Linked DNA regions of Ovis aries. The protein of the gene in region 3 purifies or fractionates together with the protein of the main gene of each other region. This does not show direct contact. Links are inferred from orthologs where the notes say so. Each region holds a gene or a part of one and is shown on either strand. Other genes may lie near its edges.

Region 1 (4,194 bases), on a different chromosome or scaffold from region 3:
TTTGTGGCCTCCTTCTCCCAGATCCCCTTCCTTGACCCTCCCAGGCCCTGTGATACCTGAATTGGGGCCTGTTCCATGTTGATGTGAACATCCACAGCAGAGCCGTCACTCTGAGGAAAGGGTAAGGGAAGTTGCTCTGGGAGAAGCCAAATACTAAGGCCCCCACGCTTCCAACTGATTCTCTGGTGCCCGACCCCTCTAGATTATCAAAGACAGAGGCTGTTACCAGACCAGAGAGCCCACCAAAGCCCTTCTAAAGACTGACACACCTCTCTTATGAACTCTTGGCTGCTACCACAACCAAAACTGACCCCACAAAAACCCTCCCGTGAGGAACACAAGCTTACGGGAAGATTGAAGGTTCCAACCATGACATAGCTGTTGGCATTCCGGTCATGAACAGAGGCCCCAGGCCCCCGAGTACCAGGCGTGGGTCCCCCACCATGGGTGGCTGAGGTGGACCCTGTTCCAGAAGATGCTCCAGAAGGGAGCTGAGTCTGAGGAGGAGCCCGTTCCACAAGGTGAATAACCTTTCCCCCAACATCTGCAGAAAAAAGATACACACCAAAACATTACATGATCAGGGAAACCCTTGGCCTCAGCTCACTGCTCTGGACAGCAGCCTCAAGCTCTGCTCTGCCTCCCCCACCCCCTTACTGTATTCTTGGAGCTTCTTATCATCCTGCAGAACTCGTCCCTGGTAGATAAGCCGTTGTTTCTCAGATGGGATGCTAACAGAAGCAGCAATATGTTCCTTAAACTCCTTTACGTTCATCTGTAGGGAAGAAGAAACATGACGAGGAATCGGGGGTGGAAGAAAAAGGACAGAAGGGGGACAGCTGACTTGTAAGGGGTAAAAACCATCCCATCCTAAAATTACTACCCACCTGTCTTAATTGTGAGGTAATTATTGAGCAAAGCCCTGAACTAGGGCAACACTTGTCAAAATACATACAATAAACGTAACGAACTTCAGGTACAGGCCCAGGAGAAAACTACAGGGCTGAAGACCAGAAACACCAACTGACATTCTCTTCTCTCCCTCTCTGCCTGGCTCCAAAAGGAATGTGTGTGCCTAGAGATACCGGTGACCCCTCCACAAACACAAAATGATACAACACTGTAACCTTAAAGATAAAAGCAATGACAAAGAAGATGCGGTAGAGAATCAGGTTAAGGAAGGCAGACTCAAGCAAGAAGAAAAAGGGGCAAAGTCAGAAAAATATTTTTCCTAACTAGACAACTGACTTGTGAGAAGTATCCAGCTGTTTACAAACACCTAATCACAAAAGCCTACACAGTCTCATTAAATACACGAAACAATGTGTTTAAAACTATGGATCAACCTCCTTACGGTTTTGTCTATTAAGGATCTACCTGCATTATGAGCATTATGGGATCCGACTCCTATCCTTTAAAAACACAGCATAGACCTCATCAGTTTTTAAGACACTCTTCTACTTTAGGTCCTAGTGTTCTGTTTGCCTTCCCAAAGGCAGGAGCCACATCTGTCCCTTTGGGCTGGGGTTCATCTATCATGTTGGCATACAGATTCCTCCTTCTTTCTTTCCCTCTGCATTGAGTTTTATCGAGGTGGAGGAAGGCAAAGAAAATCTACCTCACCCAACAAAAGCCAAAGAGGAAACATCAGAAAATGTTCTGGATACAACATGAACAAAAGAACCAATGAGAGAAAATTTGAAAACCATAATATCAGGCTCTTCTTTCAGTACAAAGAACCTGTAAGAGGAAGAGTTAATGAGTGTCTCCCAGAAGTACTGGGGTCTCACCTGGGCCCCCACAATAAAGGTCCGGGTCTGAGAGTCCAGGGTCTTCACCAGCACCTCCAGGCTGTCAGGATCCTCCATAGTGGTACTGGTACTATCACTGGGCTCCATGGCCGACAGCTCTCTAAGGAAGAATGTTAGGAGGAGGCCCGCTGTCGCCTAGAGCAGATTTTTATATACCCGGAAGCCTCCCCTGCCCGAGACTCCGCCCCATGCCTAAAGAGTTTCTCCCACACAAGCACACACACTCACACCCGCCCCCATCCCCCTTCTGATTCCGGGGCACAGGGAGAGAAACACAAAGGGTAAGAGATCGACGGCACGGGGAGCTGGAGGGCGGCAGGTGGGAGGGGCTCAACGACGCCAATCACAGTAAGGGAGGGCCAGAAGAGCTAGGAAGACGGGAAGGAAGGAAACACGAGACCGGTGTCATCACCGGTCGCGGTAGGACAAGGGCTCGAGAAGTCGGCAAACCCAGGGGACAACCAGAGAGCGAGGGTCGCGCTAGACTCTGCGGAGAAAGTGGTTTCGCGCACGCGCGCCACGCCACGCCCATCGAACCCGCTTAAGTCACTAGAGACCCGAAATGACGAACACTCACGGGGGGCTAGATCGGCGAGCTGTCTCCCTCTTCCACGTACCCTCGGTGTTCTATCAGAAAGGCACAACCAACACACTCCAAACACATACACACACTCCAAACACACACACACACACACATACACACACACCCTACCACCCAGCTCCGCCCCCGACTTCCCCACGGTACCGTCACTTCCGGTCTCCCCCAACCTGCCACCGACGGCCACTTCCGTTTCCCCGATAGTATTTGGGGATCGCGAGGCGGTACTTCCGGCTCCCCCCAGGTCCCCAAGCTTTACTTTTGTGGGGCTTTTCCAGAAAGTCCGCGGCCCCAAATAGTGAGTTCCTGGGGGCGAGACGGGCCGGGGCCGGCCTAGATGGGAGGGAGCCGAGCACCCCGAAGAGCCGCCGCCACCGCCGTCGCCCGGGGGACCGTACTGCGCCTGCGTGCGTCCTACTACGCATGCGTGCACCCTTAGGCACCTCCCCACCACAGCTGGCGCTGTTCAGTTCTCCCCTGCGCGCGCTTAAGCAATAGGGGGGTTGTGGTGGCCGCTATAAATGCCTGATAAAAAACACGAGATGGGACTCTTCCACTGCCTCGAAAGAGGCTTTGAGCCGTTGTGTGGATCTTGGAGTCTGGAGGCTGGGGATTGTGCCTCGCAAATCTATGCTGAAGTCTTGGTCGGCAGAGAATTTGAGGCGGCACTGTCCAGGCCACCTAGAATCCTGTCTTCTCTTACCATCGTCCTCGTTGAGCCACTCCTTCGGCGTCTCCGGAAGTCACCCTTTCCATAGGCGGTTGGAGGTGGTTCTCGAGCTGATTTACGTGCGGTGGCGTCGTTGGGCCTGACCTCGGTTTTGCCCGGTGGGCGTTTTGTGGCGCCATGTTCTTCCCCGGCGGTTGCGGCCGAGGGCACACGCCATGTTTTGGAGAAACCAAGGATTTAGGACCTTTCAGGACTTTTATCTTAAAAAGGACGACTCCGAGTTTGGGAATTGGAAACATGGGGTCAGACTGGAGTGAAACACAAGACTCTGACCCTGGGGGATTGAGAGGGCCGCCTAAGGGCTTCTACAGGTGGAAGGTCCGGTATAGTTACCGTCCCTCTGCCCTCTTCTCCCCCCGCCCCTCGGGCAAGGGCCTGGGCCCCTCAGTGCTGCCACTCCTCCAGCCAGAGCCGTTGCTGCCGGTGTACCTGCCTCCGGTGCCTGTCCTTTCTGGGATTTGTAGCTTCTACTTAAGTCCCGGTACTGAAAGTTTTAATAAGCACATGTATAGTGAGCCCCTAGTTGGTGCCAGCCGGTTTGCTGAGGGTTTCACATACTGTCACATTTAATAGCCTTTCAACATCTATTACATCCCTTTATATAGGTGCATGTAAGTGGCAGAACTGACAAATCAGGCCTACCAGACTCCCTTGGGTCAAGCACTTCTATTTTACTGCCCCAATAGCTTGCATTTTAGTTTTTTGTTAAAAAATATAATGAACCCTCAGCTATTCATCACCCAAATTTTATTCCTTTAGCTAAATCGCAAGCGCAGAGCAAGCCTCACCTCTCAGAACAAATCTTTATGGCAGCCTGTGGGTTATAAATAATCCAGGAAGTACCATCTTCTTGGCAGTACCCAATGATTGCCTCTTGACAATTCTTTGCCTACTTCCTATTACTTGAGAACATAATACCCACGAGAGACTAATAAGTGCTTTACAAACATTGCTATTAATTATAGGGAATATTTACTTTGGATTTATGTGCAGGCCTTTGCTAAGGGCTTCATATGCCTTAGCTCTTCTAATCCTATGAGATTGATGATTTGCTC
Region 2 (4,105 bases), on a different chromosome or scaffold from region 3:
TCAGGCTAGGAAGTGATTTAGCTAGAACACCTCTGAGGTGGAGGAACACAGCAGGATTCCAAATAGATAGCTAACGTGGGCAGACAGGAGGAATCCTTGGTGTATAATTTAGACAGGGAATTTAGATATGAAATAGAGACTTTACCTGACTACTCTTTCTTCCTTTTTCCTTTTCCCCCCAGTTTTAATAACAGTTGAGCTATTTCAAATCCTAAAAGATGATGCTGTTAAAGTGATGCACTCAACATGCCAGCAAATTTGGAAAACTCAGCAGGGGCCACAGGACCGGAAAAAGGTCAGCTTTCATTCCAATCCCAAAGAAAGGCAATGCCAAAGAATGTTCAAACTACCGCGCAATTGCACTCATCTCACACGCTAGTAAAGTAATGCTCAAAATTCTCCAAGCTAGGCTTCAACAGTACATTTACCAAGAACTTTCAGATGTTCAAGCTGGATTTAGGAAAGGCAAAAGGAACCAGAGATCAAATTGCCAACATCTGTTGGATCATAGAAAAAGCAAGAGACTTCCAGAAAAATATCTACTTCTGCTTCACTGACTGCCAAAGCCATTGACTGTGTGAATCCCAACAAACTGTGGAAAATTCTTCAAGAGATAGGAATACCAGACCACCTTATCTGCCTCCCGAAAAATCTGTATGCAGGTCAAGAAGCAACAGAACCAGAAACGGAACAACGGACTGGTTCCAAATTGGGAAAGGAGTATGTCAAGGCTGTATACTGTCACCATGCTTATTCAACTTATATGCAGAGTACATCATGCAAAATACCGGGCTGGATGAAACACAAGCTAGAATCAAGACTGCTCAGAGACATGTCAATAACCTTAGATACACAGATGACACCACCTTTATGGGCGAAAACAAAGAACTGAAGAGCCTCTTGATGAAAGTGAAAGAGAAAAGTGGAAAAAGTTGGCTTAAAACTCAACATTCAAAAAATGAAGATCATGGCATCTGGTCCCATCACTTCATGGCAAATAGATGGGGAAACAATGGAAACAGTGGCAGACTTTATTTTGGGGGGCTCCAAAATCACTGCAGATGGTGACTGCAGCATGAAATTAAAACATGCTTGCTCCTTGGAAGTAAAGCTTTGACCAGCCTAGACAGCATATTAAAAAGTATAGACATTATTTGCCGACGTGTTGTCAAAGCTATGTTTTCTGTTACTAGTGTATGGATATGAGAATCGGACCATAAAGCTGAGCACTGAAGAAATGATGATGCTTTTGAACTGTAGTGTTAAAGACTCCTGAGAGTCCCTTGGACTGCAAGGAGATCAAACCAGTCAATCCTAAAGGAGATCAGTCCTGAATATTCATTGGAAGGACTGATGCTGATGCTGAAACTCCAATACTTTGGCCGCCTTATACGAAGAGCTGACTCACTGGAAAAGACCCTGACGCTGGGAAAGACTGAAGGCAGGAGAAGGGGACGACAGAGGATGAGATGGTTGGATGGCATCACCGACTTGATGGACATGAGTTTGAGCAAGCTCAGGGAGTTGGTGATCGACAGGTAAGCCTGGCGCGCTGCAGTCTATGGGGTTGCAAAGAGTCAACAGCGACTGAGCAACTGAACTGAACTGACATACAACACTGTATTAGTTTCATGTGTACTATGTGACTCCGTATTTGTATATATTGCAAAATGGCTGCCCCAGTAAGTTAACATCCATCACCTCACAGTTAATATTTTTTGTGACTTTTTAAAGATCTACTCTTATCAATTTTGAAATACACAATACAGTATTGTTAACTAATGACCACTCTTCCTAAAGAGGCATCCGAGTCATTTATCACATCATCACTTTATTACATCAATCTAATTTCCTGTACAGCACTTATTACAGCCGAAAAATAACTTATTTTCTCCTTTATTATCGTCTTTCCCCTCGAAATATAAGTTCTCTGAAAGCGTGGCTTATTCTATTCTCCGCTGTTTCCACAGCACCTTGATTGAACAAATCCTTATAAAGCAGTAAACATTTAATAAATTTGACAAGCTAAAGACTCCTGACTTTCGACGGTTTCAGTGGTAGGAAAGGGGCGAATTCGAGGCATCCCCACTTCTCAGTTGAGGATGGGGGAGTTCAAGACCCCAAGCACTACCGAGACTGGAGCACGGAGTTCGAAATTCAAAAGTGCCGCCTCCAGAGAAGAGTTTAAAAAAAAAAAAAAAAAAAGGAATTGGAGTGTACCAACGCGAGACGGGAGGAGGCGCTGGGATGAAGCAGAAGTATACCATTTGGCCCAGAGGCCAGGAGAGGGCCACGAGCTTCCCGGTGGTTAAAACAATGTGTGGGGGCCGGATGCAGCTGCGCCGGCGAGGAATTGCGTGGCCCGCGACTGGAAGCATGCTCCGGACGCGCCACTTCTGGAGGCAGGGGGCAGTGGGCGGGGTAACGTACAGCTCGGCCCGTACCACTCAGGCCGGGACGGGGGTCACGCAAAGAGCGGGCAAGTGACATCTGGGGAAGAGGTTCGAATCAGAGCACCCAAGCGGGAAAAGCGGGTCAGGATCGAACACTTAGAAGGGCAAGGAACCTCCTAGGTTGCAAAGCCTGGGTTGTACTACTCTGCTGCGGACAGGGGGTCCAGGCTGGGACGTGCGCAGGGCCGCAGCCGGGCTTATCTCACCAGAGCCATTGGGTCCAATGATGGCGGTGAACCTCTGAAATGGTCCGATAATCTGCCGACCCTTGTACGATTTAAAGTTCTCGATCTCAATCAGCTTCAGGAACCCCATGACTGCGGCAGCGCCGCCGGCGCTAAGAAAGGCCGCGCCGTTCGCCCGCCAACTGGGATAGCCCGCGCGGGAAACACCGCAGTGCAGGCCGGGCGGACAGCAAACCTCGCGAGAATAAGTCCAGGCCGAACGGGATTTTCGACTTCCGGCGCAGGATGGAACCAAGGGGCGGGGCATTCGGACGGATGTGGCGGTTTTGTTGATCGGTTGCCAAGGCGCGAGGTTACGACTGGCGTTCGGGCCCCGCCCCCTTTTCTTGTTGCATGGCAATTTCAAACCGCCGCTACAGGCGACCTCGTAGTTGAGGAGGCAAGCAGTGCAGTGAGGTGTCTGCAGCTTTGAGGATCCCGGAAAGCTGGCTGACGAGGCCGACCCTTGCTGAGACAAGTCAGAAGTCACAGGAGGGTTATGCCCTCCAGGGCAAGAGTAAGGTGGGAGCTCGGCTGCAGCTTTTGCCTGGCCGGCGGGAAGGTTCAGACAAGAAAAGGGTCGGGAATTGGAAAGACCCCAGGGAGGGGAGGAAGGAGGGGCAAGCAGGAGGATTCCGTGTTAGAGGAGCTCAAATCTTGCTGAGGTTGGAATTGGAGTGGGGTGGAGTTATACATGGGATAGGGTGTTAAGGGGGATGAGGTGTGAATGGAGAAGGGGAACTCTGGAGCCACAGTTTTCCCCAACTGTGGCCAGAGGTACTACCCCTACCCGCCCCCCCCCCGCCCCGCCTCCCTCCTTCTTCTCCAAGCAGAGTTCAGAGACTGCCACTATAGTCTTGGACCTAACCTGGGAGCTTCACAATTGGGACTCCTTGATGAAAAAGGTATTTTGTGTGAACCCCTGGGAGTCAGGGTCCCTAAGCCTGTGCTCTCCACCTCTTATCCTTCTTCCCTTCCCCCTCTTCATCTCTGTCTTTTCATGCCTCACTCCCATCCCATTCCCTCCTCTCCATCCCCCCTCTGCCCAGTCCCTTGCTTCCCTTCCTTTTCTCTGCTCTGTCCTCCACCCCTATCAACCACCCGGTTTTCCTCCTTCCTCTTTTCCCCCTCTGCCCCTGACCTTTCTGTCCCTTTCCCCTGTTTCCCATCTTTTCTATCCCTCTGCTTCATCCCATCATCCCCCCTTACCTTATTACCTGCTCTTTATTAAGCCATAATGTTAGCAGTTCAAGAAGCTGTAGAATCTTCCCCTTCAGTTTGACCTTATATTGTGGTGACAGATGGAATATAAGCAAGCTGGCGTCAGTGCTTAGACTTAGACATGGAAAGGGTCTGGTGGCTGCTACAGCCATTCCTGTAACTATTTTTTAAACGATGTCTGGAGGCTGGGAAGAGTCTTAGGACAAG
Region 3 (3,556 bases):
GAAGATCCCCTGGAGAAGGGAATGGCAACCCACTTCATTATTCTTGCCTGGGAAATCCCATGGACAGAGGAGCCTGGTGGACTACAGTCCATGGGGTCACAAAGAGTCGGACATTACTAAAATGACATAGCATGTGTGTCCCATGAAAGTAATATAAATTTACTGACTTGATATAATCTCATTTTCAGAGGAACCGCATTGGCTCGGAAAACCCAAGTGATGTTTTTCGGTTTTTGGTGGAAGAGCGGATTCAGTGCTGTCAGACCCGAAAAGTCCGCTACACGGAGAGGGTGGACTATCTGATGCAATTACCCGTGGCCATGGAGGCGGCAACCAACAAAGGTAGTGTTCCAGAGGGGGAAGTGAGCAGAGCGCTTCTTCACACGCGAAGACCCTCGAGTGGGAGACAGTGCGGTTTAGTTACTGCAGAGCTGTGTCTGGAGTAGACCTGGAAGGTGTCTGCTCTGCCTGTCTCTTCTCATCTACTCTTCAGCCCCCATGTGGCTTTCTCTGAGATTTTCATGGAGCCGGTTATAGAGGAAACCTACTTCAGTGCCTATAAGTTTCAACAGCAGGTTGGTTTAGAGTCAGTTTAATTTGGAGGAAATTATTTGTAATTTAACATTATCACTTACAAGTTGTGCTGTAAAGTCTGAGGGAAGTGGTCAGAACTACATTTTTTGATGTGAGCCATTCAGGCAGAGGTCTCTTAAAAAGAATCCATCTTTGGCATCTGAGCAAGGTGCCTGTTGTGGGTGATAAAGTATGGCTGGGCCCTTTGTCAGGCACCCCTTAGAAAGGTCTCTGGACATTGGAAGCAGGAAGAAGGCAGATACCCAGGTGGAGGGGGTGATGCTCAGGGGAAATTTCCTTCAGTAAGTCTGATCTGCTTCTTTTCAGACAGAATAGATGAATGATATTTCTTAGAACTAACATCTTAGAAGCAGAAAAAGGAGAAATATCTGCTTAATTGCTTATCTCCTGTGAACTAGTCATTTTTGTAAAGTTCAAACACTCCTTGGGTGGCTTTTTTATTCTCTTTTTGCAGGGGTGGTGGGTAGTCACTTTATTGTGTTAATTGGAAAATGATTTTAAGATGAAACAATTTCCATTTTCTCTAAACTTTTGCAGCTTTTGGCTAATTTTTAAATTCTTATTCATTACACAAAGTAGAAATGAGGTGGGGATCTGTGGTTTGGTTCCTTTTTAGCATGAGGCCTAATTGCTTTCTCTTGACTACCTTGGTGGATGCTGGCTAACATATTCTACTCAGTTCTGTGATCCTCTCTAAACTCACTGTTTATAATTTATAATTTATAAGTGGTAGGTAGCTATGTTTGTTGTTGTTGTTGTTGTTGTTGTTCAGAAAGGAGATTTGTAACTTAGTGTCAGGAAATTGATAGCTGGAAACACATAATGCTAGCATCCTAGACAGAAGTCCATCCTAAACCAATGGTGGACTGGGGAATGAACTGTAAGAGCATATCCAGATGTGTTTAAGAAAACACAAAGATACATCAGTGGTATATAAAAACTGATAAATCAGAAGTGGTTTTTTGTATCACAGAGGAGTTCCTGGAAAGGTCCATTTGAAATGTATAGAATTTTGACTTACAGGTGGTTTCTAAGAGTAGATCTACTGACTCTTGGGAAGCTCACAGTGTACTCACTTTTTTTCCCCTGGGTGTTCAGTCATTTGAGCAGGGATAGTGTAGAAAGCCTTCTGGGTTGGCTGCTCTGCTTTCTGCAGTGTCAGGTAACCCCGCATGAAGTTTTCTTGGCGGTGCTGGGTAGGATTGCAGGTCTGGTGCCTTGGGTAATTGTGTTCCTTATAGTTCATCCTGCTCCTTGGCCTGCACTCTCCATGACCTCTCATCATGGTCAAGGGCCAGGAAGAGGTGAGCCCTCGGATTTCTCTCAGTGTGAAATTCTCTGGTGTGGAGACTTTGTGATTAGAGGGTGGTTTGGAGTCAAACCAGTCTTGACCTCTGGATAAATGAAAGCCCAGGTTCGTGCATCGCTTACAGCACATGTGTAGTCTGAACCTCTCACCTGGACTGTAATTCACAATTCCCTCCTGTCAGCCTCAAAGAGGAACAGGCAAAAAATGAATGGCTTGATGCAGCCTGGCATTGCCACTCTAAACACACTTTCAGCAGGCTCCTCTGGCTCTGTGGAGGGCAGCAAGGAAGAAGTCCTACCCGCAGCCCAGAAGCCTTCAGGGAAGGCTGTTCATTGTTCAAGGGGCTCTTTCCTTTCAAGAAAATAAATGACTGCAGATTCATTTGTTTGCCCTTCTACGCAGATGAACTGATTGCCTATGAACTAACAAGAAGGGAAGCAGAATCAAACAGAAGACCCCTTCCTGAGTTGGTTCGTGCCAAGATACCATTCAGTGCCTGCCTGCAGGCCTTTTCTGAACCAGAAAATGTTGATGATTTCTGGAGCAGCGCCCTGCAAGCAAAGTCTGCGGGTGTGAAGTAAGTGTGTATGTGTGTGTGCTTGTGTGGTGGCAATAGGATGAGAAGGGGGCCTTGAGAGGTGGGGGCCAGTAGGGAAGGGCGAGGGGTGCTGCTGTACAGGTCTGTGCATGCTTGCTCATGTGTGGCCAGATGGGATTATGATTTAGACAACCCTAGTTGTCATAGACCTTGCTTGTATGAGGCCTATCCAGTAAGACAGGCTTGTTGTAATCGGTATCATGTGTAAGGGAGAGAATGCCTTTTTTTCTTTTCTTTTCTCTTTTTTACTGAGCAGGTATAGCCAAGAACTCTTGTGCCACATGGAAAGATGATATTAATGAAGAAATTCAAAAACTACTTATGACAGTCTTCAGTATTTAAACTCCACTGTGATAGATTCTGATTCCACAGTTAAAGATTTGACTTAGAACTTGATGACTCTGTTCCTGCCTGGAGACTAGGGGTCTCAGGGCATCTCAAAGGGGACCTCAGGGTTCCTGGGCTTTGTTCCAATGAGCTGCTAAGACATGGTCAGGAGATGTTCTATTTCTATATTGTGATCCTTCTTGTCAGGGCCATGCATTTTTTTTTTTTTTTTTTTTGCCTCCACTTGACACCTTAGTTGATTTTATACAGTCAAGTCCTTGCCTGTGTACTTCATGCAGCTGGAGAAAGAGAACTCACAATGGCAGAAAAAGAGGGGAGGTCTAAAAGTCTCTGGAACTCATTACTTTCAGATATTCTTCAGCCTTTTTTTTCTGGGCTCAGCCTGAGCTCTAGGTGACATGAAAGGCAGGGAAGGATGGATGAGCTACTGCTGGCTGTTTTTTTTTTTTTTTTTATCACAACTACAAGTAGCAGTCAAACCTGAATCGCTTATTCTCTGTGACCGTCATCGCTCAAGATTCCTCTGTTTCAGATGATTGACTTCATGTGTTAAGAATGGGAAAACAAAAAGAATGTTCAAAAGCTTTAAAGAAAAAGCCACATTTTCTTAACAATAATTTCTTTTAAAAAGTTTCTTCATATCCAGAGGAGATTTATAATAGCTCAGTTATCAGTTATCCATTGTGGAGTAAGTTTTCGTCCGAGGA

What was found.
Region 1: the proteins of USP13 (region 3) and BAG6 purify together in Homo sapiens (affinity purification with western blotting; 3 studies listed by BioGRID and IntAct, with this or other methods). This does not show direct contact. The link is inferred for Ovis aries from reciprocal best matches to the Homo sapiens genes USP13 and BAG6.
Region 2: the proteins of USP13 (region 3) and SMC1A purify together in Homo sapiens (affinity purification with mass spectrometry; 5 studies listed by BioGRID and IntAct, with this or other methods). This does not show direct contact. The link is inferred for Ovis aries from reciprocal best matches to the Homo sapiens genes USP13 and SMC1A.

The regions. Positions count from the first base shown.
Region 1 is NC_056073.1:26,726,079-26,730,272, reverse strand, and holds the start of BAG6 (large proline-rich protein BAG6), read right to left. Parts: upstream 2,811-4,194; 5' UTR 2,557-2,810; intron 2,552-2,556; exon of another isoform or gene 2,389-2,551; intron 2,328-2,388; exon of another isoform or gene 2,040-2,327; intron 1,912-2,039; 5' UTR 1,899-1,911; coding exon 1,791-1,898; intron 776-1,790; coding exon 658-775; intron 545-657; coding exon 348-544; intron 111-347; coding exon 57-110; intron 1-56. Other genes in the region: APOM (apolipoprotein M), read left to right, coding at 3,257-3,620. UniProt on the Homo sapiens protein: ATP-independent molecular chaperone preventing the aggregation of misfolded and hydrophobic patches-containing proteins.
Region 2 is NC_056080.1:51,292,165-51,296,269, forward strand, and holds the start of SMC1A (structural maintenance of chromosomes protein 1A), read right to left. Parts: upstream 2,835-4,105; 5' UTR 2,769-2,834; coding exon 2,660-2,768; intron 1-2,659. Other genes in the region: RIBC1 (RIB43A-like with coiled-coils protein 1), read left to right, coding at 3,574-3,582. UniProt on the Homo sapiens protein: Involved in chromosome cohesion during cell cycle and in DNA repair. Central component of cohesin complex. The cohesin complex is required for the cohesion of sister chromatids after DNA replication.
Region 3 is NC_056054.1:208,163,219-208,166,774, reverse strand, and holds part of USP13 (ubiquitin carboxyl-terminal hydrolase 13), read left to right. Parts: intron 1-188; coding exon 189-342; intron 343-2,305; coding exon 2,306-2,480; intron 2,481-3,556. UniProt on the Homo sapiens protein: Deubiquitinase that mediates deubiquitination of target proteins such as BECN1, MITF, SKP2 and USP10 and is involved in various processes such as autophagy, endoplasmic reticulum-associated degradation (ERAD), cell cycle progression or DNA damage response.